Arabidopsis thaliana: one gene and its partners. The protein of the gene in region 1 interacts with the protein of each later gene in a pairwise test. Each region holds a gene or a part of one and is shown in the gene's direction. Other genes may lie near its edges.

Evidence for each region.
Region 2: the proteins of AT1G49230 (region 1) and ELIP2 interact in a protein complementation assay, tested with the Arabidopsis thaliana proteins (one large-scale study listed by BioGRID).
Region 3: the proteins of AT1G49230 (region 1) and AT4G17430 interact in a protein complementation assay, tested with the Arabidopsis thaliana proteins (one large-scale study listed by BioGRID).
Region 4: the proteins of AT1G49230 (region 1) and HHP1 interact in a protein complementation assay, tested with the Arabidopsis thaliana proteins (one large-scale study listed by BioGRID).

Annotation. Positions count from the first base shown.
Region 1 is NC_003070.9:18,204,972-18,212,730, forward strand, and holds AT1G49230 (RING/U-box superfamily protein), read left to right. Parts: upstream 1-4,222; 5' UTR 4,223-4,348; coding exon 4,349-5,008; 3' UTR 5,009-5,206; downstream 5,207-7,759. Other genes in the region: AT1G49220 (RING/U-box superfamily protein), read left to right, coding at 975-1,730; AT1G49225 (uncharacterized protein), read right to left, coding at 1,341-1,484, 1,568-1,692, 2,819-2,889, 3,647-3,681, 4,174-4,176.
Region 2 is NC_003075.7:8,415,533-8,421,704, forward strand, and holds ELIP2 (Chlorophyll A-B binding family protein), read left to right. Parts: upstream 1-2,709; 5' UTR 2,710-2,840; coding exon 2,841-2,975; intron 2,976-3,069; coding exon 3,070-3,171; intron 3,172-3,252; coding exon 3,253-3,597; 3' UTR 3,598-3,793; downstream 3,794-6,172. Other genes in the region: AT4G14695 (Uncharacterized protein family (UPF0041)), read left to right, coding at 4,301-4,355, 4,578-4,676, 4,763-4,815, 4,913-4,986, 5,265-5,313. UniProt on the Arabidopsis thaliana protein: Probably involved in the integration of pigments into the mature light-harvesting pigment-protein complexes.
Region 3 is NC_003075.7:9,722,469-9,731,673, reverse strand, and holds AT4G17430 (O-fucosyltransferase family protein), read left to right. Parts: upstream 1-4,839; 5' UTR 4,840-4,872; coding exon 4,873-5,339; intron 5,340-5,416; coding exon 5,417-6,473; 3' UTR 6,474-6,964; downstream 6,965-9,205. Other genes in the region: AT4G17440 (chromogranin (DUF1639)), read right to left, coding at 3,015-3,146, 3,254-3,826; AT4G17420 (Tryptophan RNA-binding attenuator protein-like protein), read left to right, coding at 7,231-7,278, 7,532-7,591, 7,680-7,719, 7,809-7,987, 8,112-8,150, 8,234-8,329, 8,475-8,535, 8,619-8,746 and 2 more.
Region 4 is NC_003076.8:6,835,944-6,844,795, reverse strand, and holds HHP1 (heptahelical transmembrane protein1), read left to right. Parts: upstream 1-1,849; 5' UTR 1,850-2,139; coding exon 2,140-2,441; intron 2,442-2,522; coding exon 2,523-2,598; intron 2,599-3,150; coding exon 3,151-3,771; 3' UTR 3,772-3,963; downstream 3,964-8,852. Other genes in the region: AT5G20260 (Exostosin family protein), read left to right, coding at 5,240-5,470, 5,558-5,709, 6,896-7,250, 7,328-7,990; DIN10 (Raffinose synthase family protein), read right to left, coding at 8,161-8,761, 8,844-8,852. UniProt on the Arabidopsis thaliana protein: May act as a negative regulator of abscisic acid (ABA)-mediated osmotic stress signaling and function in cross-talk between cold and osmotic signaling.

The DNA of each region.
Region 1 (7,759 bases):
AGGCTCTGCCTATTCATCCTAGCACATACCGAAGTTCTCTACATTATCATGACAAGAAAAGATATTTAGTAGGAACGATGAACAAATAGATATTTAGTACGAACGTTGAATAAATAGATATTTACTCAACAGATATTTAGCAGGAACGATGAACAACTAGATATTTACTTAACAGATATTTAGTAGGAAAAGTACTTAAAAGTACACCGAGAGACAAACACTGAGAATAGGCGTTCAAGAGTAAATGATTAAAGAATAGGTTCCACCAAAGAAATTCATAGATTGAAAATCAATAATGGTACATGCATAACTAAAAAAACAGGATTAAAGCTCTGTGTTTCAGTATTTCCAGTTTCTTGCAAAAGTGAGCTCTACTTATAACGTTCCTGAAATTTTTTTAATGACACTTTAAAACCCATTGGATCCAAACTCTTACTTGAGTATTCCAGAAATATTCCAATTCTCATGTTATTTCACCTCAAGAGAACCATATACATGCAGACATTTAGATACTTGGGAATTATCAGAATAAAATTTGCAAATACTACCCAGACTTAAACATATAATAACGTTAATCAAATAGAATCTAGCTTATCAAGACTCAACACAGGACAAAAATGATAAAACAAAGTTTTATAATTTAAAGTCGGGCATAAATAAATGATTTCCAAATTTAATGTTGGAAAAGTGATAGTCCCTATACACAAGCATCTTAGGGTTGGAGGAGGTATGGGCCAATGGCACAATCAGCACTCAAGTCTCATTTGAAGAAAAAAAAAACTAAAAAGAAGAAACCCCACTTTCTTAGAAAAATAGTATTAGATAAAATACTCAGTCCCCACAGTAATCAGTAAGCATCTCGAGCTATATTTAAGACAACTTTGAATTCCTCAGAACTTAAGAAGCAATAACCAAAGAAAGCCAACAAAGCATAGAGAAGCGACTTTGACCTTAAGCTTTCTCAAAGAGTAAAAATGTCTGCAAATGAGTTACCTTCTTCAGCTCAAGCCTTCCAAGAACAATTCCTTGGCGGTTTTGTCTCTAGAAAGCTGCTTCTGCACAACCCATTTGACCACAACACTCAACGAGCCTTTGCGGTTGCACCATCTCCTCTCATAACCCATGAGAACAACCTCAGTGGGAATGTTATGATGCTTCTCTCAATCCTCATTTGTGGCATTATCTGCTGCCTCGGGTTACATTACATCATTCGTTGTGCACTCAGACGTTCTACACGTTTCATGATCTCCGAGCCTGTACCAAGTCTTTCGTCAACACGGGGTTCATCAAACAAAGGAATCAAGAAGAAAGCTCTTAGAATGTTCCCAGTTGTGAGTTACTCACCTGAGATGAACCTGCCAGGGCTTGACGAAGAGTGTGTCATTTGTTTGTCTGATTTTGTTTCCGGTGAACAGCTCAGGCTGCTCCCCAAGTGTAACCACGGGTTCCATGTTCGTTGCATAGACAAGTGGCTTCAACAACATCTGACTTGTCCAAAATGCAGAAACTGTCTGGTTGAGACGTGCCAAAAGATATTAGGTGACTTCAGTCAAGCTGATTCAGTTACGGCAGAACCAACAGAGATCGTAATTGTCACGATTGTTCCTCTAGAACCAACAGAGATCGTAATTGTCACGATTGCTCCTCTAGAACCAACAGAGATCGTTATTGTCATGATTGCTCCGCTAGAACCTGAAGGAAGAGTAAACACTATTAGAGAAATCAGCTAGATGCAAAGAAAGACAGAAACCATCAGCAATTCAGAATTTGTACTTCTAATTTTTTTATGACTTTCTTTTTACCTGTAGCACAAAGTGTATACAGAGTGATTATGTTTCATTTTCAGTAGCATCTCATGAGTCCATCAAACTTCCTTTGTAAAACTATTTTTACGGTGGAATGTGAATTTTGCAATCTTATCCAAAAACATCAAGATTCATCTGATAACCAAAGATTGATAAGTGCTGGTCGTATATTCTTATGTGTCATATCAGTACACTGAACCAAAACGTCACTAGACAGAATAAATGGTTTCCCAATAACTAATGCCAAGAGTTAGTTGTGTGAAGAAGCAGTGTGTAGTCTACCATATGGAATTATGGTCCAGACCTGGTCCCATGTACTCTTGATAATGACAAAAGCACAAAGTTTGTGAAACAAAATTACATCTATCTACATGAATCAACCCACTTAATAATTAATCTATATGCCTCAAAACCGATCCACACGCATAAGTCATCAAAATAGCAATTACCATGAACAAGACAAAAAAGATAAAAAGATATTAGTAAGAACTATGAACAAATAGATATTTACTTGACAGAAAGAAATTATTAAGTAGGGAGAATGATCAAATAAATATTTACTTTACAGATATTTAGTAGGAAGAATGACCAAAAAGATATTTTATAGATATTTAGCAGGAACTAAGAACAAATATATATTTAATCAAAAGTTCACCAAAAGATGAACACTGAGAAATGGCGCCAAAGAGTAAATGATTAAAGAATAGGTTCCACCAAAGAAAGTCAATAATGGTACATAAATGATTAAAAGACAGGACTAAAGCTCTGTGTTTCAGTATTTCAACTTTCTAGCCAAAGAGAACTATAATTAAAATGTTTCTGAAACTTTTCTTATGGCTCTTAACACCCACTGGATCCAAAACCATTTCCAAATCATAAATGCATCCAGCAAAAATGTTCTCAGAAATATTTCAAATTCTCACCAAGTTGCGTTATTTCACCTTAAGTCGTGTCGTGTGATTTCACCTCGATATGTTGGTAACATTTCACTTCCATCATTCAAAAAAAAAAACGGTGAATGACCAATTTTAGTTTGGATGATCTTTCTGTCTGTTCAGATTTCTCATCTTCATCCATGTTACCCCTGCAGTTTTAAAGTGAATGAGTATCAAATTAAGATATTCCCAACAAACGAATCATTATAGCATATAACACAACAAAAGTAAAGTTTATTTGCTTTAAAGAAGGTACCAAGAAAACAGACCACTATATATATTTGTACCAGTTATATGTAACCTAATGGCACAGACAAAAGAAAAAAGGAATCCATTTCCGAGTGAGACTGGTGAGAAAAGATAGAAAAGATGCATCTCCTACTGTGTAACATCAACTTTTTATCCCAAAGATACACAATCTTCCCTAATCTAATGTTTCACTAAACCAGCTATTAGGAAAGTAGCAAGAAACAATGTTATACAAAAGCACATATCAAAGAATCTTGCTTTGATTTTGGAGCTACAAGAAAAACATTAGATACTAGATTCATGTAGATTTCCCTCGCAATTTGCAACCAATGGAAGAAGATATCTCATAAAGCAAACAAAAAGAATCATTTTTTATTCGTTCATCCGTGGGACCAATTCCTTTACCTCTGATTTAAAACAAAGGCATGTAAAGATAAAGAGAGAGAGAGAAACTGTTTACTGAAAAAAAAGCAGGAGGTGGATACTAATGCTATGAGAGTGATAAAAGTAGCCTTTAACAAGATTGATTGGGAGAGGCTTTGTCCTTTTGGCTACTCTATGGACAACTTGAGTTACTACGAATGGGGTGGATTCCTGTTCCCCAAACATAAGTAGAGTTCACTAAATGGAAATATTTCATCCGTACACTCTCAAAACCGCACAAAATCAACAAAACTTTTAAGATTCCACCACTGTTAAAAAATAGCAAAAAGGGAAAGAAAAGAAAAGTTAAATCAAACCTTGCTTTATATATGAGAAACTCCTTTACAGGTTAGACACATATGTGATATATCACTGGGTCAGAACTATCTACCGAAACTCGGTTTTCATCAAGACCATAAGTAGAAAACATATATTATAAGCCCTAACAGGCTAATATCAAGGAACAGTGAGATATCAGTAAAATGAGCCAGGAGATATTAATATTTGAATGCTGCTATATCAAAGATAGGGAAAGTTCATGGCTGCTCCAGTTAAAAAGCTCATGGGTCCCTAGAAGCAATTCTGGGAGATATGATTTGCTAAGGCCACAGCCACATGGCACTACTATTGCAGCAACTGGTATGATGGACCCATTTTATATAACAAAGCATATTACGCTGCAAATGATTTTATAAAATTAGACACTAAAGGTAAAGGTCCATAATGTGAGCTTGATCTTTATAGCTTCTTATTCATCCAACCATAAGTTTTTCTAAATGAAATATATAAAAAAAAATTCCTCATTAAATATCTGAAAAAAAATTGAAACTTTACCTTTCCTCTATATAAACAATTAGCCTCCAAACCTTTACTCTATATAAACAACCTCCAACGGAAACACAGAAAGCCACCAATCTATCTTAAAACTAAGTTATCATGTGCACTACCATTTCCATTTCCATTTCCACCATAAAACCAACTGAGATCTTTCAAGAAATTCTTGGAAGTTCTTACTCAAGAAAATTACTATTTCATACCCATGATCAATCACCAACTCCAGCACCATCCCCATATGTAGGCGATAACAACTTTGATGCAAATGTTGTTATGGTCCTATCAGTCCTCTTATGTGCACTTGTTTGCTCACTTGGACTCAATTCTATAATAAGATGTGCCTTGAGGTGCTCCAATTTAGTACCATCTGAAGCTGGTGGTGACAACTATCCTGTTCGCTTGACCAACACAGGAGTCAAACGAAAAGCCTTGAAGAGTTTCCAGACAGTAAGTTACTCTACTGAACTAAATCTGCCTGGCTTAGATACCGAGTGTGCTATCTGTCTCTCGGAATTTGTAGCCGAGGAACGTGTGAAGCTGTTGCCGACATGCCACCATGGATTCCATGTCCGTTGTATAGACAAGTGGCTTAGTTCACACTCGTCCTGTCCCACCTGCAGGCACTGCCTCATCCAGACATGCGAGAAGATTGCCGACTGCAGCCAAACAAGCTCGTTAAACTCTACTCAACCACCACAAGACAGCATCATTCTCCAAATAGCACCACTAGAACCGGAAAGATGGATACGCTGGTTTAGGTGAACTAGAACTAGTCACCTAGATATTTGTAGCAGCTATGATTAAACTACTATGTTTTAGAATTATTTGAGATTACAAGCGGTCTACACTTAAAAACAAGTTTAGCATTTCAACTGTAAAGTTGTAAATATTACGAGAATGTTACTTTCTTCATATCTTGAACTACTAAATGTTTATATTTCACAGTTACAAGCCAATAAAGGAAAATTTCATTAGATCTGCAAATACTCACACTGGAAAACAAAACATAAACAATTCAAAAATCAAATGTACAGGATGATGAGAAGGAAAATCACTGAAAGGCTTAAAGCAATAGTTTAGTGGAGGTGGCCAATACACTTAGTCAACTAAAGAGAGATGTCATAATCTTTACCATTATGAAGTTTCAAGGTTATTAAAGTCAGGCTCTGCCACTAGCTTATTTTACTGATTATCATAAGGGTTACTACACTTTTATATAAATCATACAATAACATAATGTACCCTTCCAGAGGTAGAAGAGTCTTCTTGCTTTGTTATTGAACAAATTAAGTTGTAGGCTGTGACAATGCGAAGCCCCGGAGAAAAATGTCAAGGCCCACAAATGAGAGAAACATGCAATAATATAATCCATCGAAAGGAGAACAAGAGAGAGAGGTCACCACCATAAGAAACAGCACAAAGCGAATGGGGTCCGAGGACGAATCCCACCATATGGTCAAATCAAATAATACTAAAAGGGGAGGTTCAATGTTATACTGACCACATGAAGAAAATGAGTGACCACAATAATTCAACAACCGGCATTTACCAAGATCAATTTCATAGATAATGGATTATGAAGAGCTGCAATATCAATTACTTAGAAGTAGAACTTTAAAAAAAGCAGTACGTGTAACAGTACTTTACTGACTAGCTAAAGAGAGATCCTTAGTAGTAATCTAGAAACTCCCATCAATATGGTCACTAATCTCCAAATAAAGAAATTGATAAACAAGTTATGAGGTGGACGAACGAAATTGTAAACCCTAGATACCAAAATGGGGAAACTTTGCATCAACCAAATGAGATTATCTTCTGAACTAATTACGTATCGGGATTAAACAATGAACAAGAAGAAGTAAACAAGAGTACATGAAATTGAAAAAATCAAGTTTCGCTCCAATCAAATTGACAATAAGGAGACAAAGATACGAAGTTCAAATGAAGCTGTACGAAAATACCCAGAAAACTATGTGAAAAATGGGGAATTTTCTTACCGTATTCGTTGATGAAGATCTGCTGAAGACGACGAAGTAGCAATGTTCAGAGATTGTTCGCTTTGTTGGCGCCAATGATTTTCAGAAATTCTCTCTTGAAACCAATATCGGATCTTCCATAGTTTCCACTCGGGTCGGCTTTTAACGGGCCCATTTATATAAAGCCCATTTAGCATTTTTCCTAAATCGGGTGTTTTTCTTATATCAAAATAGAAAGGGATTTTTTAAAATATCTCTTTGTTGGTTATAGTTTATAAACATTTGGTTTAACAAGTTATAATGAATGTGGTGAGCCACTCATTACAAGAAATTATTTACAACCACATGAGAAAAGAAAAAAACACATAGGCTATTAATGGAGGCAGCGGACAAAACGGTCTAATTTATCTGCGGTTTAGTCCATTTCATTTTTGGGATGGATAATAAACCGTTGCGGAGCAAGTTTATTTGTATGTAAAAATAGTTCGCAGATGGTCCGCTGCGGGTTTTTTCTTTTTTTTTTTGTTTGGACCACTGCGGACTATAATTGATGAATGAAAAATAAAAAGCGGTTTGATCCATTGACGGTTGTGTCCGCCCCAACCGCCGTAACCATTCACAACCCATGTTGTAAAACCAAGAATAACAAAAAAGATTGTTAATTGACTTTTTCCGATATTATATCAAAACGTGGCCGGTCATATAACTTATATATATGTATTATTATATATCAATGGAGTGTCAGTTTAATATAGTCATGATCATGAGTAATGTAGTTTCATAATGATGGGGCACAACGTTCTTAAGGGTAGTACTACCAACTCAATTTTCTCTCGGCATGTGCTGTACACATGGTTCATAAAGTTGACTTTTGGATTTCCATCTCACAACAGCTATTTCTTTTCCGGTTTTCTACCGGTTTGCTCCGGTTAGTGGACCAACGTTAAAAGTTTAGTTATGACAGTTTCTTGGGTTCTACACATCTTTTGATTTCTATTTACCCTCGTAACAAAAATAGAAGATTTTGTAGTTTTCTTTTAATGGTACCTACCTCATGTGGATTGTAACTACCTTTTGTTGGATTCATTATTGTAGGTACATATATTTGTGGTTTATATCCATCCACTCTCTTATATAGATCAAAAATATATAACTAAAAAATAAATTTTATCCCCAAAATGTAATTTAACCGAATATTTGATTATTTTCTAATCCGATTTTTAAATTATATTTGAATAATTTTGGTTCTTCGGTTAGATTCGGGTAGTTTAATTTTGGCTAGGTTATCGATGGAAACTAGTTTAAATTTGGTAAAAAACGGTATAATTGTGGTATAATCTGGTTATAAACAACATATAATTTAGTTAACTGATAAGTGATAACTGAACTAAAGCAAAATACTTGGTTAATTGAAGTAAAATTCAAATTTAACCAATCTGTTAAGGACATGTAACTTTTCAAAGCGAACAGCTAAAATCTTGGTTCGGCCCAATTTGGTTATTTCAGATCGGTTATTCATCCCATGGCTAATCTGTAC
Region 2 (6,172 bases), on another chromosome or scaffold:
GCACTTTGCTCATGAGTCATGACGATATCAACTTGGCAAATTAATATTGTAATCACGTGAAGGACCATGCGACATCATCATCATCATTTGTGGGGTAATAACATAAAACTAATGCCGGCTTAAGAAAAGTGTGTTCATTTCTTAAACTTAAATCACATTTGGAGGACTCATTATAGAGCTCATCACCTTTGACCTGACTTTATCTTGACCTGAAGCTACCAGGAATTTATATCTGAACTTTTGTTTCCTTTTTGACGGCGAAATAATTTGTTTAGTATAAGTTTTGTCCATTCTTTACAGGTCAAAAACATAATTAATACTAATAACGACGATATTTTAATGTTTCCTCTTGCATGAAAAAGCATTGAAAATGACGGAGTTGATTCACTTTATTGGTGGCTGCTTTGGGCTCACATTCAACATGTGCCAATTAAGAATTCTGAGGGTCGACCTACCCATCCTCATTCACTCATAGCGACAATTCAAAACAGATCTACTGGGGCTTTAAATAAGGGTAAGGCCTTGTTCCGAACTGGGCTTTAGTAAGATATTATAACATTTCTGTTCCAAATACAGTACATCAAAACTTGAATCTAACTTATATCAACTTCAATAATCATCAATTCATCAGTTAAAAAAACTCCTTCTTTCATGGTTTAGTTTATCAAAGATATGCATTTGATTTATAAGAAAACCCAAAGAGTATTTGTTACCTAGTCGTCCCCGGGTTTCACGGGGTTACAATAAGAGAAACAAAATGGGCCACATAATATTTATTTATTTAGTGATTCTGTCGTTTAAAAAAAAATTAGTTTAACACATTGTCAAAGTTTGAACTAAGGAACTTGTAACTCAAATACTGAAACTTTAACCATTAGACTACATTTTTATGCAAATTCGGCCAAAACTAAATAATAATATGATTAGCGGCCGCAAGCTTATGTTTTGCTTGCTTGGCCTTGTGGCCGGCTAAATAACCTAAGTATATAATCAATAAATTACATAAACGACCGGATAAATCAGAACTTAATTATAATGTTAAAAGTAATTAAATGAATGATGACCCTCGTCGTCTCTCCTCTTAAAACACAATAATCTCATAAATACAATTTTTATATGAAGTCTTCACAAACTACTATAAATTTCCCAAAGTTGTTCTCTCTCTTTGTCCACTCGAAGACTCATGGGGATAAGAAGGCACTCGTGTTATGGGCTTCGGGGCTTTTTATTGTTCGCCCTTTCGAGGACCTTCTCACATGTTTGGACTTTTGAGTCTAAATGCCTTATTTCCTCACGAATGACGTGAACATTTTTTCGTCCTGAACTCAAAAGTATCAATTACACACTTCACACTACTAATGGTCAAGTTTTTTCGTATTTGAAACTACAAATGTAAGTAATATATGCGATAAATTTATTATCCTCTGCTAGTAAAATCCATTAAAAAAAACTACCAATGTGGGTGTATGTTTTCTTTCAGTATATATAAAGAGTTTTCGCAGAGAGCACATATCGATGGTGGTACATCAAATCTGATCATTCATATCTAAATAATTGTTGTTGAGTTTTCTATATGTGTGGAACGTTAGATTGCTTAAGCTAGAAATTGACACAAGAGTTTGATCACCGAGTTCCTGCCTCCTGGCCTCTAACCGGTACGTCTCGGGTGGGAACTGTCTCCCACAACTTTTCACTATCAAGCAAAAAGTATTACAAGCACTAATAGAGGTTTCTCTTCTCCTTGTTACAAATTTAGAAATTAACTCACACACAAAAGACAATAGAAAAGGAGACTATACCGACACGAAGACTATGCCCATATCTTCACAATTGTGCTATTATTTACCGTTCTAATCTGGAAAAAAAAACAGCGCACGTAGGAGAATTGGGCACGAAGACATGAATGGGACACATAAAGGATCAAAAGAGTCATCATGGGTCTGCCATGATGAAAGTTAAGAAAGTTCCAATACGCGCGAAACAAGATTGAATGCGACTTCTCTCTATACCAAAAACGAATCTCCCAAGTCCCAAGTGAATATTGTGAGCCACTAACTTGTTATTAACATTTTGAGACAAAAAAAAAATTTGTACGTGTTTTTGCCAAACCCACTTGGCCATGACCAATCAGAAAAAGACAAGGAAGATGTGTATCTATGTGTAATGAGGAGGCCACGCCATCAGTTTACTTGCACTTTTCCAACTAGACGTGGCCTCTCACCGATCTCAACCTCACTTTCCTCTCATTTCTCAAATTTTATTGGCTACGTGTTTTTGTGTTTAGCGTTCAACCCAAATATCGATATATTCTTCTTTTTTTTTCACATTTTTAACGATTTCGAGCAAAATAATTCGATTTATTTGTATAATTTTAATATGGTAGTTTTACAAATAATGAAACGAATGACCAACTGATTTGTTAGGTGTTACAATAAATATGGAAAAAATCTCATAAGTTTGAAAACATTTATTCTGAGGAAACTTTTTCTTCCCCAAAAGAAAAAAAAAGTTTAAAGTGGAAAAAAGAAAAAAAAGGAATAAAAAGTTTGAATTCAGTTTTTTTCTTTTCTTTGATAGATTTCTTTCTACTTATTTATTACTCTACTACACACCACACAAAAACAAAAATAAAATAAGTAATCATAGTATCCCATAAATCAGTAAAGATAAATAAAATCCAGAAAATACTGGGCCTATCATTTTCCTTCACCAACTCTATAAATGAAGAGATAATCCTACAGTTACACCTCAAACCAACTCCATCTCACTTCTCAAGTCTTATAATTTATTCATTTCTCTCTTCTTCATCGATCTTCGGCTTTTAGAAAACCTAATCAGAAATGGCAACGGCGTCGTTTAACATGCAGTCAGTGTTCGCTGCTCCTTCCGGTGTATTGACTACACGCAACATCAGAAACACAAACCAACTCTTCTTCAAGAGGATTGCTCCGGTAGGAGTCAGATGCATGGCTCAGGTATATATACACTAACCTCATAGTCCTTCCACTTCCCTACGTTACTTATTTGACTTTTAATCCTGACCGTTCCTTACATTGACTATTTTTTTAGGGCGATCCTATCAAGGAAGATCCTTCTGTGCCCTCGACCTCGACTTCGGCCACTCCACCACAAATGCCACAGTCTCCTCCTCCACCAGTTAGCAAGCCTAAGGTATGATCTAATGATCAAAGTCATTAATATATATCACTAGCTAAAAAAATGAAGCTAATGAATAATTTTCTTATTGTCTAGGTGAGTACGAAGTTTGGAGATTTGCTAGCGTTTAGCGGTCCAGCACCCGAGAGGATCAACGGGAGACTAGCAATGGTTGGATTCGTGGCGGCCATCGCCATGGAGTTATCAAAGGGAGAAAACGTGTTTGCTCAGATCTCTGACGGTGGTGTCGGGTGGTTTCTAGGAACAACAGCGTTGTTGACGTTGGCATCGATGGTTCCGTTGTTCAAGGGAATAAGGGCAGAGGCAAAGTCAAAAGGGTTCATGACTTCAGACGCCGAGCTATGGAACGGTCGGTTTGCGATGCTCGGTCTCGTTGCGTTGGCCTTCACCGAGTACGTCACTGGTGGGACTCTAGTCTAAAGCTAAAGCTTTTTGTTTGCTAGTTTAAGGACAAATTTGGAGAATGATTATGTAACGCATAGATTGATTTAATACTATGAGTTTTAAACAGTGTGTCAACATGAATCAAAATTTAAAACCATGAAAAAAACATTATAAAAATTTATTTGAAAAAGTACTTCAAAAGTTTTCTTATAAGATAATGTGAATGGAGAAGAAGAAGTAAAAAATAAATTTTAGCTTCTATCCAAGGTTTGAGAGTTTATGCATTCTTTTGAAATGAATCAAGAGCCAAGAATAATTAATTATGCTCTTCCTTGTTATTATCGACCAATAGAGTCATCATGTGTCTGCCATAATGAAAGTAAAGCAAGTTCCAAGACGAAACGAAATTGAATGCGATTTCTCTCTAACAAATCACCTCATCTCAATTCTCAAGCCCATGGGTTAGTCTCATCAAAGCCCAATCAAAGCGTCAATGCTTCCCAAGAACAAAAAAAAATATATTAAGATGAACAAACAAAAAAACACTTAAAAGAGGAAAGATCTGGCCACTACAACACTACACGATAGTACGATCGATGAATATAATCGGAAAGATTTGAGTGGCTCAATTACATATTGCTTATACGACGTCGTTTTGAGTAGCATCATTTCGTTAATATTTATGTAGGAGACTGAAACAAGACAGAGAAAAGAGAATCTCCGAGGAAAACAAAAGTTGATGGCGACGTCTAAGCTTCAAGCTCTCTGGAATCACCCGGCAGGACCAAAGACAAGTGAGTTATCACATTGTTTCATCAATAATATATTACTCTTTCTTCTTCCGTTTCAATTAAGACTCTATTGAAACGTTACTATTGGAAAATGTTGAATTGTTTATAGTACAGTTCTTGACAAAAAAAAATCTATATCACTTTAAATCCTCTAATGAATAATATATTCTAATTGTAAACAGTTTCTCTCTTTTTTTGTTGTTGTTGTTGTTGGGTATTAATCAGTTCATTTCTGGGCTCCAACATTTAAGTGGGGTATAAGCATTGCTAACATTGCAGATTTCCAGAAACCTCCAGAAAATATTTCGTACCTTCAGCAAATTGGTAAATAACTACTACTCTTCAGAAATCTCTAATCTTTCTTGTTACAATTATTGTTATAAACATATTATCCATAATTATTGTATTAGCTGTGACATGCACTGGAATGATTTGGTGTCGTTGCAGCACTATAATTACTCCTGTAAGTTTTGTTTGCTTTTCGAGTTTTACTTTTGTGATTGGATTCTTGGTTTTGGTTTATCGATCTGATTCTTTGGACTTTTGTTTTTTTTTAACAGAAAAACTGGAACCTGTTTAGTGTTAATGTTGCTATGGCAGCTACAGGGATATACCAACTTACTCGCAAAATAAAGTGAGAATCAAACCCACTTTTTTGTTTTGCTTGTGTTTTAACATAGATAACAAATTCATCAGCTTACTATATAAAACATTTCTTTTGCTAAGTTAAACGCAATCAGAAAGGTTTGGTTTGGCGTTTACAATCAGCAAAGGAAATTTTGCTTAATATGTAATGCAAACAAAGAGTCGAAGCTATTTTAAACTCGATTTTTATGATGATTGTCTATGATAGTATGATTTTATCTTTTGATACATCAATGAAATGCTTATTAACTTTTTTTTTGATATTAGGTATGATTATGTATCTGAAGCAGAGGCTGCTGTTGAAATTGAAGGATGATGATGATGAAAAAGATGAAACATTTGACATGTGAAAATGTTCGTTCATTAGTACTGTCTTGTTAATGGACCTCTAGTAGCATATGCCAATGTTTGGATTTTTGTTAGATAGTGAATGGTACGTTACATGCTTGCTAAAGATTTTTATATTATTTGGGACAAGATTGATAGTTGAGTTTATGTAAGATTAATCAGTAATTAGATCAAAATAATAACTCTATATCTCTTAAAAATATGTTACCTCTTTATCAATGACTAGATGAGTACCCGCACTACGTGCGGGTTTACGTATTATTTACAAATTATTTTATATAATGTTTGTTCATATAAAGTAAAATTGAATGCATAGGTTTTGAAACATAAATATGATTTGTAATTGTTTTTGAAAAGCCCAACTATATTAGTTCATCTGAAAAACGAATGTGATTGAATTGTTTTTATTGTTGTTTTAGATTCTCAGTTTTTTTTTTGAATTTATATATCCTTGCTTTTTCAGTTATATGTATAGATTGTGAGACGGTGAAATTTTAGAAAATTTATTTCTTACACTAAAAATATAACATGTCTTTATTAATCATATCTCTGCATATTCAATCTAAGCATATTCAACTTGATGTTCTTGGAAAGTTTAGTTAAGTTCTTGTCATAATCTTATATCTTACGTATTAGTTATAAGGATAGCTCCTCAAATATCTTTCAAATTACTTGTTTTCTTAGCATAGATCTCGAAAAGCTTAGATATATTTAATCTGCATATTCATTTAGTTTCTTTCATAATAATCGTCTAATTTTTAGGCTAGGAATATGTGTAACATGTTTGGATTTTATCATCACTTTAGCCACTTAAGTGGATCTCAAAA
Region 3 (9,205 bases), on another chromosome or scaffold:
TGTGCTCTTGTCCACCCACACGTGCATTCTTGGTCAAAATATTCCTATGTTCTCTTGGTTGTCCTCAGTCAATGGTCAAACTTCTATAATTTTATTTGGTTGAGTAAAATAGGAAGAAGTAGCCAACTCTCTCATTAGAAGAATGTGGCTTCCTCTCTTTGGGATTTTCAAAGATGGCTTATCAGTTTCAGATGCTATAATTTAGTTCTTTTTACTAATTGGCTTCAGGTTCAGCCCCTTGGACAGGTTGATAAGCCACTAATATTACTAATATGTCCATTCAGAAATCTTGAATAATGAAACCAACTAATATTTCCCTCAATTTCGTTCGTTTTGGATCTATAAGATTTGAAAATTGGCTTGATCATAAAAGTGGAATAGTTTTGAAACATGTTCTCCGAAAACATATGGTTTCCTAGTTACATATTTTAATTCTTCTAATGGCGGTGAGCTGTGGTGGTCATGTGGATTCATCGGTTAACCAAAAATCGTTTGGGATATTTTTCGGTTGTAATGACACGTGCACTAATATATACATACGGACTCATTTAACTACCTTTAAATAAATAAATAAAAAAAACTACCTTTAAATAATACTCCCATCTAACGATTGCTTTAAAATAATTACTGGGTAAAAATGAGGTAAAAATGAACTCTAATAGTTTATCTTATGGATTCTGATGTACCATTTTATGGAGAAATTATATACATGATTTTAAAATGGCCACCAAATTAAAATGAACCATCCTAAAAGTAAAATAAAATAGAACTAAACCCATGAATTTATGGTTCTAATTAGTAGTAACAAAAAAATTCTACATTTTTGTAATTATTATTGACTTTTGTAGATTGTCACTATTTATGTGTTGTTAATATATATGTTCTTCCTCTAGTTAACTGATGATTAAAAAAACCATCGTCGATTACACAATTCTCTATCAGGTCCTAGTTCTGGTAGACGTGAAATTATATTATGGTTTGATTGGTCGAAAATAATTTGGATATTTTAGTAGAAATGGAGGGCACTCATGGAATTTAGGTTTAGCCCCTAATTTTCCACTGCGTGACAGAGTAAGGAATCGTTTTTTTGTGCCATTGTGTGTGGTTGGTCGTTGAAAGAATACATATCTCAAGTACAACGAGGACTGTGTATGACGTCGATAAAGCAATTAATGGCACATGATATATTACCAATCACATCATTTAATTTATTAGTATCATCATCATCGTCATTGCATTATCTTACATTCCTAATGTTATGTTTAGAAAAGTACTTAATTTACTCCACATAATCATTAACTTCTATCACAACAATTAATCTCTAAGTAAAAGACAAGCTACATAATATGATAAAAAAATAAATGGACATGCGATCATCTTCGGTTTTGTTCTTGGTTTGGATTCAATTACGTTTAAAATTTGATATCACTTTTTCTCTTTTAAATTAAAAGATTGAAACTGTATATGATACTTTTGTGGCTGTGTGTGATGTAATCGGTGAAAGTTGTTCTCGAATGAATTGGCTTTTTGGAAACAAGAGGAGCCCACTGAGAATGATACTCTTCATTGATTATTCGGCAAAGAACTACATGTAATAATGATTAAGTTTTTGAGTCGGAACTAATTTTTTAATTTTCTTAAAAAGAAACAATTAAAACCGACAAACTGACCATTTGGCTTCGCTGTAGAAGAGCATAAATGGCGAGAGTCAAATGATTGTGGACTAGAATCATCATGTGATGAAAATGAAACACAAAAGGCCTAAGATAACCAATTATATGCTCTAACCCCTATATAATCATTCCCATTATAGTAATAATGAGAAGAGTTCATAATTAATGGAACAAACCTTCTTCAAAGTAAGCATGCTCTTGCAAATTAAATACTAAAATTTACAAGAAATCACATTTTCCTAAAAAAGAAAGAGAAGTCGTAACTGGTGGTATTCTAGGGCCTTTTGGATTTGAAATCATGAATATTAGCCCATTTAGCTTATTGTGGTTTAGGTACTCCATTCTCACATTAGGACTTCAAGCCTTAAGATGCAATCACATGAATATGAACTGTGAGCCATTTTCTTTATGCAGGTTGTTGTTAAGTGGGTATGCAGATTTTTTAAAAAATACAGTCATACAGAGGAAACAACTGTGTGATTAATAAACCAGCGTAAAAGCAAAAACTACACTCTTAGTTTCACATTTTTGGAATAATTAGAAACATTAATGCAGAACTGTAACTATTTTTAGCCGTCTTCTCAAAGTTATCTGCAGGTTTTTAATTTGCTTTTATTCTCTTAGAAACCTTATTGTACTTAAAAAAACTTATATGGATCTTAATACACTTTCTAACTATGTGTGTTAATAAGAGTTATATATGGTTTAATAAATCATTGTCTGTGCTAATAAGAGTTATAAATGGTTTCAAAAAACCCTTTTTAAACATAGATTATGTTGTTTTCCTCTGCCATTAAACTTAGACGCATCTTAATTACTAACTCAAAAACAAACCCCTCTCGCTCTCTCTCTTTATATATATCTATAATTATATGACCTTACCGATATTTACTTATAGTTTAGTTACTACTAAGTTTGATATGAGACAAGAACATGTCTCTTGAGATATCTTCTTCCTAGCTTCTACTGTGATGTATCTGGATTCTCGATCACCAGCATACCTATCTACCCTGCAACAAAGCAGAAACAAAATCCAACTACTTAAGCACAAACCTCAACAAGATCAAGCAATGTAATATCATAACAACGTTACCATATATCCATGAAAATGATAAGTTTCAATTAGGGAGATGACTTCACCTTTTTCCTTCACCAAAAGACTCCTTTGCATCGATCATCACTGCAAATGGAATACAATCGCTGTTACGGGTTTTGTATCATTAAAGCAGCAGTACCATTAGGTTACGTAAAGCTAACATAGAATGAAACTTCATAAAATCTGTAATAGCACCTAAAGGTCTAGACTTTCATCCATTTCATACTATCTACAGATCAATGTAGCTAAAGGGCAGGTTGATCCAAGCTTTCATCGAGCAAGTAAGTGGACTGATCAAAGCTAACCTTAGCCGGAGAAGTGGCTACTCTGAAGCAATCAGCATTCATCCCAACGAGACCCAATCCAGGGAAAATGACCTACAATGGCAGACATTGAATTGCCTAAGAAAATGGAGACACTAAAAAAACGTAGTCATTGTTTTGAATTCTCTGTGAGGCAATTCGTCGAACACCTGGTGACTTACATCGAGATGTTTCTGCATAGCTTTTGCCCTCTTCCTTGGCCGGCGAGATGACCTGTTCCCACTCATGCTGAACAAATCTTCTTCGATCTCGTCTCGAGCTAGAGCAACCCAAAGCCTATGATTCTCGTTTGCAACCTCACCACCGCCTAATCCGGGTGATTCCGCCGGGATTCCTCTCTGCCTGTTCGATTTCGGCTCAATTCCTGCGCCTGATTTCTGATTCTTCACCTCCGAACCTCCTCCTCCGCCGCCACCGCAAACCTCCGCCGTGAACACGCCGTTTCCTTTCTTCGAACCACCATAAGCCTTCCTCGGACGAAGATTCCACGTCCTCTTCGCTTCCTCCTCCTCCGTTTCTTCTCTCTCCTTCACCGACACCGGCACTTCCTCTCTCGCGGGAGAAATCTCATCGGATTTCAGCTTCTTCAGGTTATCGTGCTCTGATGAGGGAGCAAAGGAGGAGAAAGAGAGACGCGGCTGACGACTTGACCGTGACGCCACGACACGGTTAGAAACAGCCACCGTCTCCGCCGATTGAGAAGCAGACCTCTCCGACTTGGAATTCGCAGACATTGGTATGAGATTATACCAAAACGTATTCACCTGAGAGATGATCAAAAACCCTAGAAGGTAAAAAGCAGAGAGGAGAGAGAGAGATGTAGGAGATTTACGGAAGCTGATGCATGCGTAAGTTTCTAATTATGTTTTTATTCATGGGGTGTTATTGGTTTATGATTTCAAAAGACTTTTAGTGTTTTAAAGTGTTATTTAGAATTTATTGTTATTCGATCACGATTTGTTAAAAGTATGTTATATTTTGTTGGCTAAAATAAATCATTAGTTAATTATTTTATATCCTGATATATCAACATCAATTATCATCCTTCTGATATGGGGATTAATATATGTTAACAATAAATCCAGAAAATTACGTTTAGATTTAGACATATAAATAAAGAGATCTTAAAGAAAAGAAGAGAAAAAAAAGAACCCGTAAAAAGCTTAAAAGACTACAACTGCTTAAGTCTATCAATGATGATCAATATATTCATGTAAGTGCTAAATAGGTTAATTTCTCTAGTGAATTCGATTTTGGACTAAAAATCAACAAATATTAGATCATCTAGTGAATTCGATTTCTCTAGGCCATCAAAGAATATTATTAGTTAGGTCCAAAGACCTAAATTTATTTTTGTGTATAAATTTAATAAAATAGAAATTTACATTTTGATATTTTTAATATTATTTTGGTGACAAAATATTTAGAAATTTTTTATATTTTTAAATATTCTTTTATTTTCATATATTTTTTATTTTATTTTACAAAAATTTAAAAAGAATAAAAATAAAAATAAGTTCATAAATATTAATTAGCAAGATATCTAATCTCCATTGCTTGTTTAAAATGTTATGTGGACGCGCAAATAGCTTCGTATAGATTATGTTACAAAAAGATTTCTAAAATTAACTATGTTTAAGTTCGTATTATTTTAGTTAAGGCCCATCAGAGAATATTAGTTAGGCCCAAAACAGTGACACTCACCGTTTTGGCATCTTCTACACATGAGCAAAACTAGACGCAACGCAATGATGGCGACTAAAACCTCAGAGCAAAAAACATGAACAACTTCTTCAATCCCAGTAGACCAAGCCCACGTCCATGGCCAAACAGGAAGAAGCAAACCGACAAATCTGCGATATTTCTTTGCTCCGTTTCTATACTTGTTGTGTTCTTCATCGTCGTCTTCTTCATCACTTACTCCGAGATGCCCAAGTCCTTGTTCTCAATCTCTGCATTTTCTGGATCCGTTCAATTCCCTCAGTGCAGATCCGAGATACTAACCCGAACTCTTCTAGGTCAGAAGTTTCTCTGGTACGCTCCTCACAGTGGATTCAGTAATCAGCTATCGGAATTTAAGAATGCGCTTCTTATGGCGGGAATTCTTAATCGGACCCTAATTATTCCTCCGATTCTGGATCATCACGCCGTTGCTCTCGGTAGTTGTCCTAAATTTAGGGTTTTGAGTCCCAGCGAGATACGAATCTCAGTTTGGAATCATTCAATTGAGCTTCTTAAGACTGACAGGTACAAAATCTCTTTTTTTTTTCGTAATGAGTTTTAGTAATTTGATCAATGTGGGTGACAAATGTTGGTGTTTATAGGTACGTTTCGATGGCTGATATTGTAGACATTTCGTCGCTGGTATCTTCTTCGGCTGTTCGAGTCATTGATTTTAGGTACTTTGCATCACTACAGTGTGGTGTTGACTTGGAGACTCTATGCACTGATGATTTAGCTGAACAGTCTCAGGCTTATGAGTCACTGAAACAGTGTGGCTATTTGTTATCTGGAGTTCGTGGTAATGTAGATAAATGTTTGTATGCTGTGGATGAAGATTGTAGAACCACTGTTTGGACTTATAAAAATGGAGAAGCTGATGGGAGATTAGATTCGTTCCAGCCTGATGAGAAGCTCAAGAAGAAAAAGAAATTGTCCAACGTGAGAAGGCGAAGAGATGTGTATAAGACTCTTGGACATGGTACAGAAGCTGAGTCTGCAGCTATTCTAGCATTTGGGAGCCTCTTCACAGCTCCATACAAAGGCTCAGAGCTGTATATCGATATCCATAAATCTCCAAAGATAAAATCTTTGGTTGAGAAGGTCGATTTCCTTCCTTTTGTTCGAGAGATAATGATCGCGGGAAAGAAATTTGCTTCAGAAACCATAAAGGCGCCGTTTCTTTGTGCACAACTTAGATTACTAGATGGCCAGTTCAAGAATCATCGGGAGAGCACTTTTACGGGTTTATATCAGAAGTTGGAAGCTTTGAGCGTTAAGAATCCTGGTCTAATTAATGTGTTTGTAATGACAGACCTTCCTGAATTTAACTGGACCGGAACTTACTTGGGTGATTTGTCTAAGAACTCTACAAATTTCAAGCTCCACTTTATAGGGGAACAAGATGAATTCTTAGCGCGAACAGAGCATGAACTTGATTCAGCGAGTCACGGCCAGAAATTTGGGTCTATTCCGATGAGTCTTGATAGTATAAAAAAGATGCAGACCCATTGTTACCCTCATGGAGGATCCAATGTGCAGCTTTACATAGAGGAAGCTGTTTGTAGCTGTGCTTCACTGGGTTTTGTTGGTACTCCAGGGTCTACAATAGCTGATAGTGTAGAGATGATGAGGAAATACAATGCGTGTAGTAGTAGTTGAACTCAGACTGCATTTCTATTGGATTCATCTGGTGGATGAGCCAATGTGTAGTGATTTTATTAAGTTTTGCCGGTCTTTGTATAGAGATGGATAGAGATAGATGATAGATCTGTCATCTGTCTCCACTTGAAGTTATTGGTGATGAAAACAGGCTCTTAAATTGTTTTGTGTTGTTAAGTTATTTGGGAAACTATCTAAGTTTCTTATTAATAGATGAAGCTACTTGGTTCCTTTCTGATTATTCACACACAACAATGGAAGAGTAAAGGTTGCGTGGGATGGTTGCTTAGTAAAGGTTTTGTGAGTTCTGTAGATGTCTCTAGTGGTCGACAAGATTTGTAATTGTTGTACCAATGTCTTTAAACCGGCTATTGAATAAGAAATTTTGTACCAAATAAATCTAGTGAAAGAGGGTTGGTTGAGAAGAAATGTAATTATATTAAACCGGAAATGAAATTTTACGTCGATGTGTATTTTGTGACCAATGAGATCTCTCCACGTAAACAGATTCCACGTGCAGCTTCAGGCCGATTTAAGCGAATTTAATCTGTCGTTTTGTTGGGTTCCCGTCGGTGACATCCACCGCGAACATTTCGACCGGAGTTTTGAGAGAGCTCAGAGTGTTTCGAGTGTGTTATTTGGATCTGCGATCTGATCGTCTCGCATCGACGTGAAAGGTTTTCTAATCCAATTGGTTCTGTGGAAATTTGGATTCGGAGGTTTTTGTTTGGAAGATCTTTCTGCGGTTTTCACCGCCATGGCTGCTCCGTTTTTCTCTACTCCATTTCAGCCTTATGTCTATCAGGTTTGTCTTCTATCTTCGTTCTCTTCTCGCCTCTTAGATTCGTATTCTTGTCTGTCACTATCGAGAAGGCTAGTGTTCGAATATACTTCTTCGCGAGTATTTTAGGATCCTTTCTCATGTAGGTGTTGAGTAATGTGATGTGTACTTACATCTAATTCAGTGATAATGCTAATAAGCTATTTCCTGGGTGAGAAATTGATCTCTTGAATGTGTCTGTGGGAGTATGAATCTCACAAGTGGTTATATGATGCAGAGTCAAGAAGATACGATCACACCTTTCCAAATTTTGGGTGGTGAAGCACAGGTTGTTCAGGTAGGTCGACATTTTATTTTGTAGTCTGGGCATTTTGTGTTTATGTGATTGACATATATACTCAAGCATTTGATTGTTTTTTTGACAGATAATGTTAAAACCACAAGAGAAGGTCATTGCTAAGCCTGGTAATTTCCATATTATGATTCCTCATTAAGTTTTGTAAGATCTGTTGGGTTGGATTGTATATGTTAACTGATTATATATGGTTCTTTAGGTTCAATGTGCTACATGTCTGGGTCCATTGAGATGGATAATACTTATACCCCTGAACAAGAAGTTGGAGTTGTACAATGGATTTTAGGAAAGAGTGTTAGTAGTATAGTTCTTCGTAACACTGGGCAAAACGATGGATTTGTTGGTATCGCTGCACCTTCTTTGGCAAGGATTCTCCCAGTTAGTGGTTCTTACTTGCCATGATTTCCTTCCGTAGTATTTAGTATCTTGCTTGATATAAGTATATCTCCTTATCTCGTTCTTATGTGTTTTGGTGACCTTTGGCTTGTTTCTTTCCGTGAAGCTTGATTTGGCAATGTTTGGTGGGGACATCTTATGCCAGGTAGAGCCGTCAATCTTTAGCTGCTTGGCTCTCAGCTTTTTCCTCCTCATTCAATGATGTGACTTTTTCTTGTTGTTGTGTAGCCAGATGCATTTCTCTGTTCTGTCCATGATGTGAAGGTCGTAAACACTGTGTATCAGAGACATCGAGCAAGAAACATTGCTGCAGCTGGGGCTGAGGTAAGGAAAACAATACATTGCATTGGCTTTTGGCACAGTTCATTCAAAACTTAAGAGTTATACCTTTCCTAGTTACTTCTTGTAGATGCTACTATGTGAAAATTTTATATATGTTTGGCTTGAAGTCAGAGAGTCGTTGTTGTAGGGGGTTCTGAGACAAAGGCTTTCTGGTCAGGGTCTTGCTTTTATTATCGCTGGCGGCTCTGGTATGCAACTAAAGTTTATCTCAACTTACTGCTCTTTAGGTTTAGGCCTTTTAAACTGATCCTACTCCATTTGCTTCATAAAGTTGTACAGAAAAACCTGGAGGTGGGAGAAGTTCTCACCATTGACGTTTCTTGCATTGCCGCTCTCACTCCGTCGATCAATTTCCAAATCAAATACAATGCTGCTCCTGTAAGACGGGCAGTTTTCGGGGTATGTTATGTTTCTTCCTTATCCATTACAAACAATATGTATTAAGGTTGGTCCTTTTGTGTCAAACTTACAAATCATCTACATTTTGTCAAAAAAAGGGTGATAATGTAGTAACAGCAACTCTAACGGGACCAGGCATCGTGTTCATCCAAAGTTTACCGTTTCATCGACTCTCGCAGCGAATTGCAAGGTTAAGAATCGACAATCTCCTCTTGGTATAAATAACTATGGTTTCTTGTACTAGACTCAGCAAGGGTTTTTGCTTGCAGGTCGGTGACGTCCCCAAATATGAGAGAAAATCCAAGATTATTAGTTCAAATAGGGTTATTCATATTTCTTGCATACGTTGTAATTGTGTCCTCTTTAATCCTTACTGAAATGTGAAATACAGAGGTGCACTCACATTTGTATCCTCTTTTGCTATATATGGGATTTACTACACCCATATCACCTTTTGTA
Region 4 (8,852 bases), on another chromosome or scaffold:
AATAAAAAGAAAAAGAGGATATTCCCGGTATTTTAATTAACAGAACAACATTCATATAAATAAAACCATTCCTTTTGATTTTAATTAGGCCTAGGCGACAAAATATATAATTAAGGCTAAATAGATTGCAAACACATGGCAGTTATATCCAAAAGTAAAGATTACAAAAGATGTCGAGAAGATAAAGTCATTTTCTTCTTCAACCATATTTAACAAAATCTTAAGTTATGAATTAGTAATAAACTATTTTCCCAAGAAACTTAAACACACGTATATGGAGTTTGCGTATATGATTGCGATTCCTTGGGGGTGTTTCAGGAGTGACCTCTTTGGTTAATGTTTTCCCAAAAAGCCTAAGCCAACCCAAATCTTGAAAGACCAGAAAGCTACAACTATGGCCATTTTATCAGCTTTAATTTTAGATAACAAAACTGAATTTTGTAAGAGAAAAAATAAAGGTATGGCTATGGGACGCCGAGATGTTAATTACTATCTACATAATAACAACATATTTTTTTTTTTGAATTTAGTGTTAAATTATATTCAAAGAAAAATAAACTGTTTATATACAGAAATGCAAACTTTTCTTAAAAATAGATCAAAAGTATATCTTATTTATCTTTGATTTTGTTCTTGCCTAAAAGTAAACCACACTTGGATTCCTCTTGCGTACTTCTCTTCACATCTTACCCTCAACGTGCTTAATCCATTCCTTATGTTTTTGTCTATCAGCCTGATTATCTTCTTCGTCCTCGATGGCGTCTGTCCATATCTCCTCTCATTTCTTTCTCTCCATATAGAATGTATCGTGTTTTGAAACACATACCGAAGTACAAACCTTGTAGTGGCGTCAAGATCTTTACTCACTAACTCCTTCATAATAACAGCATAATAACATGTATTACATGAATGCATGTCACAAACGTTTATAATTCCCTTTTTTTTTGCCAACAAAACGTTTATAATTCCTTGTATGAAGATATTTTCGTCTAATTTTTAACATCCTTTTTTAGTTGATTTCCAAATAAATTATAAATTTGTTCTAAAGTTTAGTCATCTGCCTAATTAATTAACTTGAAGTTCTATATTGCTAGAGGCATTTAAAGGTCAAGTCCTTTTCAAGTGGTAACTCATTGAAAATGACACTAATGTTTTTTGCAACATTTCACAAGAAAAAAATAGAAATTTTCATGATTTTGGCTTTTGTGGTCTACTCTTTTAAAAAAAGGAATCCTTGAAATGTTTGCATGCTTGTTTTTAGTATCATTATTTTTGTTGTCATCCACTTGATGGAAAGAGCTTTGACACTTCTTTACCACAATCACTTCATAACTCATAACTACATTAAATTCTGTTGTTATCCTAACTTCTTCTGTTAAAAAAATTACTTAGAATTACACATAAGAACTCAAAAATGCAAATTTTCTAAAATTACTCGTCTATTTCAAGTAAAGTAAACCCCTCACCAATCTTAATTTCACACAGAATTTAATGTTGATTGAAGCATAGTAAAAGTCTAAATGAGTCCTTATTTTTTATTTTTACATCAAGAGTACTATTTTGTTTGCATCACATATCTTATATCTTTCTTATAAATACAAACGATCCGGTGGGTACAAGGCATCAATCATGTAAAAGAGGTACAAGCCGGTAGTGAATTTTGAGTCGGTCGGTCTTAAAATCGCCTAAATTTACTCTTCTCGTATTCAAAAGATTTTCCATATCTCAAAAAGTAGTGTAAAACTGAATCACTTTTCTTGTTAAAAAAAAATACAATAAAAACAAACGTAAGAGAAAGGGAAATGAAATAATAATAATCAAAAAAGAAGAATTTATTGATAACCTAACTAACAACTAAAAGATGAAAACACGACACCAACTTCTACCTGCATACTAAAGTTTCGTCTTTAAATGTTGCAGCTGTCTCCTTACATTTCACATCTTCCTTGTTTCTTCTCTCTCTCTCTCTCCCCTCAAACTTAAATTCACATTTTAATACTTGTTACTTCAACTATAATAATAATAATAATCTTTCTTCATTATATATTTTCCTCTCCTCTCAGATCTTCTCTCTCACCATCTTCTCTTGAGATCAAGATTGAGTATTCTTGTCTCAAGAATCGATACTCGAGAGCTCTTATGGACCAAAATGGTCATAACGACGAAGCAGAAACAGTTTCATGCGGCAACGGCAACTGCAAAAGCAAGATCGTGCCTGGAGATGATCACGGTGGAGATGAGAGTAGTGGTACCAAGAGAAGGAAGAAGAGAAAAACGCAACAAAAGACAATGAAACGACGTGAATTAATGTCGTATTGTGAGCTACCGGAGTACATGAAAGACAACGAATACATATTGAATTATTACAGAGCTGATTGGTCCATTAGAGATGCTTTCTTCAGCGTATTTAGTTTCCACAATGAGTCCCTCAATGTTTGGACGTAAGTACACCAAATTTTACTTCTAGTTTCAATTATTTTTTCTTCGATTTTTTTTTCTAATAGTTTTTTTTTTTTGGACAGACATTTGATTGGTTTTATCTTCTTTGTGGCACTAACCGTCGCCAATATTATTCATCACGACGGATTCTTCCCCGTGGTAAGTGTCCTTTAATCAACACGTTTATTTTTGTTTTTGTTTAATAATCGCAAGTTTAGCCCGAATTTCAATTTATTCCCTCGAGATCCACATGCAACCACTATATTAACTTCAAATTAGTCAAGTGAATGTGTCAAGTAATTAGATATATACCTAATTGGTTTTGATTAACTTATCTTAATTTTCTAATGAATTGTTCGTTGCTATACCTGGATTTTGTTATGATGATTTTGAATAAGATATCAAAGATATATAGACATGAATCGAAATGATGAATAAAATCTTTGACAATATTACATTGACTATAATTTGTTTTCTGTAGTATATTCTAAACAACTCAATAAAATGTAATTCTTTTAAGGATTATATATCAGCTCAAATCTATTATTTAATCACATATCTAAACAACTGAAGAAAATGTATTTCTTAACTAGATTAGAAATCAACTCAAATATGTTATTTGATCATATATCTAGTATATGTTTTTTTAGTATCTCAAACTAGTCAATAAAAATGTAAAGCTAATGGTGGTATCAATGTTGATGATTGTAGGATGCAAAGAGTCCAGGGAATGTAACAAGATGGCCCTTCTTCGTTTTCTTAGGAGGCTCAATGTTCTGCCTACTCGCAAGCAGCATTTGTCACCTCTTCTGTTGCCACTCAAAAGAGCTTAATGTCTTCCTTCTCCGAATAGACTATGCCGGTATCACCGCCATGATCATCACTTCCTTCTTCCCACCAATCTTCTACATCTTCCAGTGCACTCCTCGGTGGTACTTCATCTACCTCGCAGGCATCACATCCATGGGAATCTTCACAATCATCACACTTTTCACCCCATCACTTTCCGCTCCCAAGTACCGAGCTTTCCGCGCTTTGCTCTTTGCCTCCATGGGGCTGTTTGGGATTGTCCCAGCTGCCCACGCGCTAGTGGTCAATTGGGGAAACCCGCAAAGGAACGTGACGCTCGTGTACGAGTTGCTTATGGCAGTGTTCTATCTTGTTGGAACAGGATTCTACGTAGGGAGAGTGCCAGAAAGGCTTAAACCGGGATGGTTTGATCGTGTGGGACATAGTCATCAGATCTTCCATGTGTTCGTTTTGTTGGGTGCTTTGTCTCACTATGCAGCTGCTCTCTTGTTCTTGGACTGGCGTGACCACGTTGGTTGTTAAACCATATATTTGTAATTCTTTTAAATATAATATTATTAATTTGTTGTATCGTGGTGAACAAAATTGTAATAACCCATTTGTTTTAAATTGAATTGTAATTCAACTTGTGTTAATTGTTATGTTTGTTGAATATGCATGATTTTCAGAAGTCTTTTTCTCTATGAGAAGTTAATGGTAAATCAAATATTTGCCACTGAATAGTTTCGTTTTTGAATATGATGACTTCAATTGTTTGTTTGCTTTATATCATGAAAGCAAACAGAATTGAAAAGACATAAAAAAAAATTGATGTAAACACAAAAGCAAAAATTGACGGTTGAAACAACCAATGATTTGTTTTATAAAAAAAAAAAAAAACCAATGATGCAAAGGATGGACTTCATGCATGGTTGATGGTTCTTTCATCTATCTACATGCGCACTTAGCTTAGTGTCAGGATTCCCTAACCACAAGAGAATTAATATGTATATATGCACCATCAAATGTTCATCAAAGTCTCCGCTTCCTTTTTCATTCTTCATAGCCGAGTCCTCTTATTATTGCTTCAAAGTTTTTTTGTTCTTTTTGATTTGATATAAATATATGTGTTACTAGGTTATACAGGTGTTAATTAGATGCAAGACAAGGATTGATCAGACATAAACATAATTAAAGACCAAGCTTCACTCTGTAACTAGACTCTTGATCGATAATGCGTGAACGGACCCAAACTCTTTTCGAATTTCGGAAGCCAAATGTCTTGGTCTTGCCGTGAGACTTGGTGTATATTTTCATATATCTTTTTTTTTTTTTCCTTTTGATGTATGAAACTTTTTTTATGTGTGGTTAATGAGTAAAACAAAGAATCGAACACCATCACCATTAGTTTAAGGTTGATGTGTGAAACATAGCGTACGTGAAACAGTTCTTCTAATTAACCCAATTTGATGTTATTGTTAAATTATCTTCAAGAGTGACAAATATACGACCAAACATGTCAGCTAAAGCTTTATAATGCCGGTTATGCTTAACCACCCCAAATTTGATTTGCCTGCCTCAGACCGGTTATAGCAGTACGGGAAGAACCGGTTTGATAATGGGTATAAAAGTTTTTCGTTTTTCTTCTTGCAACCAAACCCAAAATTGACCCTAAAATTAAGCATGCCATGATAGCTAGCTAGTAACGATCGACGGTGCCAAACCCCGAACGATATGAAGATTTACTTCTGATTCGGTAAACATTTTTATAAAGCAATAAATACAAAATTAATGTTATTTGCTTCTCAATTACTCTATTAGTCTTCCGTTTCCTTCCCTAATAGGATTTATTTTGGTCCATTTCTGCTTTAATTTTTTACCTTTCTAGTGATTTTATTTGGTAGACTTTTAGCTGGTTTGGATTCTCTACTATAATAGACTCTTATATTCCTCTACTACATAAGTATATACCCTAAATGTGTCACTGCCCAAGAAACTAGAGAAAAAAAATATGGAACAATCAAATTTTGTTAATATGAAACTCTCTCTAGTTCCAACTCTTCTTCTTCTTCTTGTTCTTCTCGTCTTTTATCAACATCACTCTTCTCCAAACCTAAACTCGAACGCTCTCTCTTCTTTCGTCGACGCTACGTCCCTCGCCCCATCTCCTTCACCGTCCCTGTCTATGGAGTTTAGTGTCGCCTCATCAAACCTTTCAACAATTTCGAGTCCTCCTGAAAATGTATGTTTTTATTAATTTACGTGATTTTGTTCATTTATGCTATAGATTTGTTTTGACTTTTGAATATATATAATTTGTTGTAATAAGAAAGGAAATAAGAGGAACATAATTGAGGAAGGTTTAGCAAAATCAAGATCCGCCATACGTGAAGCCGTGAGGTTGAAGAAGTTTGTATCGGACAAAGAAGAAACCTTTGTTCCTCGAGGAGCCGTTTACAGAAACGCTTTTGCATTTCATCAGTAAGTTTCTGTTTCCTTTTTTTCTTCGTTTCTCCTTTTTTTTTTGTCTTTCAAATTTTCATTTAAAGTTACTTTCCATACTAGGAAATAAATGTAATACTAAGATTTTATTGGGGGAAAAAAACTAGTCAATATGAAAATTATTAAGTATACAACTACATTTTATGCTAATGATATGACAATTTTCATTTAAGTTACCCATAATTTTCTCCCCAGATCATTTGGATTTCAAAGAAGAGAAATTCAAAATTTACCTCAAAAGTGTAACCGACATTCGACAATGATTTTTAAGCAAAATACATTTATTGTTTACATGAATAAATTATTTTCGAAATCCTTTTTATTCCCTTCATTTGGAGTATGTATAAATTCGGTTTTCTTGAATTATTTACTCGTTTGCTATGGGAAACGAAGCGATTGAGTATAATTCTAATCCTTCCTCGTTCCTTAGTTCTCTGCGTCTCGTTAAACTCAAGATTGAACTATTTAAGTATTCATTTTCACTTTGTTATATGGTTTATATTATAACTATTTAAGTGTCCATGCTCTTATACTTGTTTTTACTTCAATACATTGTATTGCTTATATTACACACAACCAAGCGTGTGTATAGTAAATACCAAAATAAATCTTTCTCCCAAATCTTAAAGCAAATTGTACCTCTCTTAAAGAATTGCGTAAACTTTATAATATTCAGAAAAGTATGTAAATTTTTTATATAGTCAACGTGTCTTAATTAAGGGACTATACTATATATGCACAATGGTATGCGGGTAGAGAAACGTAGCGCCTACTTAAAGCCCTGCTTTGGTAATTGTAGTCACAGCTCTATGTTATCTTCACATTACAACCTTAGTTTAGTTATTAGAGTAAAAAAAAAAAAAAAAATGTTTAGTTGTATTGTACTACTTTTTATTGACTTCAAAATCATCATTTCTTTGCTTGTTGCAAAATTGAATTGCTGCTCCCAGTTATTTTATTAAAAGAGAATTAAATTACTCTAAATACATAGTAAGAAATTACCTAACCGTATTCAAAAACTGTCTTGTGAGTTGTGATTAGTCTATCACAAATTCGTAGACAAACTTTAAATAAACAAAAATTGTAGCTAGGAACAAATGTACTTCACTGTGTTTATGAATTATGATCGAGTAGTAACAACACTTTTTCTTATGAAATTGAGCAGAAGCCATATAGAGATGGAGAAGAAATTCAAAGTGTGGGTGTACAGAGAAGGAGAGACACCGTTAGTTCACATGGGTCCAATGAACAACATATACAGCATTGAAGGCCAATTCATGGACGAGATCGAGACAGGGATGAGCCCGTTCGCGGCTAACAACCCCGAAGAGGCTCATGCCTTTCTCCTCCCTGTCAGCGTCGCCAACATCGTTCATTACCTATACCGGCCGCTCGTGACCTACTCGAGGGAACAACTTCACAAAGTTTTTCTTGACTACGTCGATGTTGTGGCTCACAAGTATCCTTATTGGAACAGAAGCCTTGGAGCCGACCATTTCTACGTTTCTTGCCATGATTGGGTTTGTTTTCTTTCTGGAACCAGACTTATTTTTGTGATGTTGCTACTGAAATGTAACATTTTTAAAGACTCTTGCAGGCACCAGACGTCTCAGGATCGAACCCGGAGCTGATGAAAAACCTGATAAGAGTTCTCTGCAACGCCAACACATCAGAAGGTTTCATGCCCCAACGAGACGTCTCAATCCCGGAGATCAACATCCCCGGAGGCCACCTGGGACCACCTCGGTTATCGCGCTCTTCGGGCCATGACCGACCCATCCTTGCTTTCTTCGCAGGGGGTTCACACGGTTATATCCGCAGAATTCTATTGCAGCATTGGAAAGACAAAGATGAGGAGGTCCAAGTCCACGAGTACTTAGCCAAAAACAAAGACTACTTCAAGCTCATGGCTACGGCAAGGTTCTGTCTCTGTCCTAGTGGCTACGAAGTGGCTAGCCCTCGAGTCGTTGCAGCCATTAACTTAGGTTGCGTCCCTGTCATCATCTCTGATCACTACGCCTTGCCTTTCTCAGACGTTCTTGATTGGACTAAGTTCACCATTCATGTTCCTTCTAAGAAGATCCCTGAGATCAAAACCATACTAAAGAGCATATCCTGGAGACGCTACAGGGTGTTGCAGAGAAGGGTTTTGCAGGTCCAGAGACATTTCGTGATCAACAGACCGTCACAACCGTTTGATATGCTTAGAATGCTTCTTCACTCTGTTTGGTTGAGAAGACTAAACCTGAGGTTGCCTTAGTAGTGATACTCTGTTTTTTTTGGGGAATTAATATTGGTATAGAACAATAACGTGAACTGTAGTATAACATTGAAAGTAGCTACAATGGTAACCAAAGGTTTACAAATAATAAAGACTATTTAAAACTGTTTTGAGACTGTTTTTGTTTAATGAATTGTATGAATCACTCTTCATAACTCAACTTGGATCAGATGAAATCGTTTGTTCTCTATAGGCATTTTGTCTAACTCAAAGGTGACCAATCCAGAGGAGGAATCGTACTCGAATGCAATCTCATTTGACTCAACAACGCATCTCTTAGGCTTCACAGAAGAGTAAGATCCGAATTTGCCACATCCTTTAACTTCCATTACCACTTTCATCTTCTCGGCTTCATATCTAAGTCCTTCGATAGCTCCTCCCGAATTGTACATGTTTACTAGACCAATTGGGGCAAAAGATACACCATCAACAAGATGACTAATGGGGCTCACCGTGAAGATCTCGTGCTCACGGATTTTGAGTGAGACTGGAAGAGACACATTGTATGGCATAACAATAAGTTCGCCTCTGCTCTGGGAGTAAACAGCACAGTCTCCATTCCAGGTTGTTGGATCAGTGGAGGCCTCCGATATTGAATGCACATCACGACCACGAATGGAGCCAGTGAGGCTATCAGTTTTAGTCTGGTGGAAAATGTTTTTTCTCTCTGTGCTGCTCCAAGCTGCTCCTTGGCAGTTATACACGCCAAGAACTCCAGTGTACTTGTTCATGTTCCATATCTTTAGCAAGCTGAAACCAAAACAAAGCATATTAAGAAAATGAGAAACCAAAAAGTTTTGAAGAATTATCTTTATAAGCCAAATTTGCTTACCTGACACCA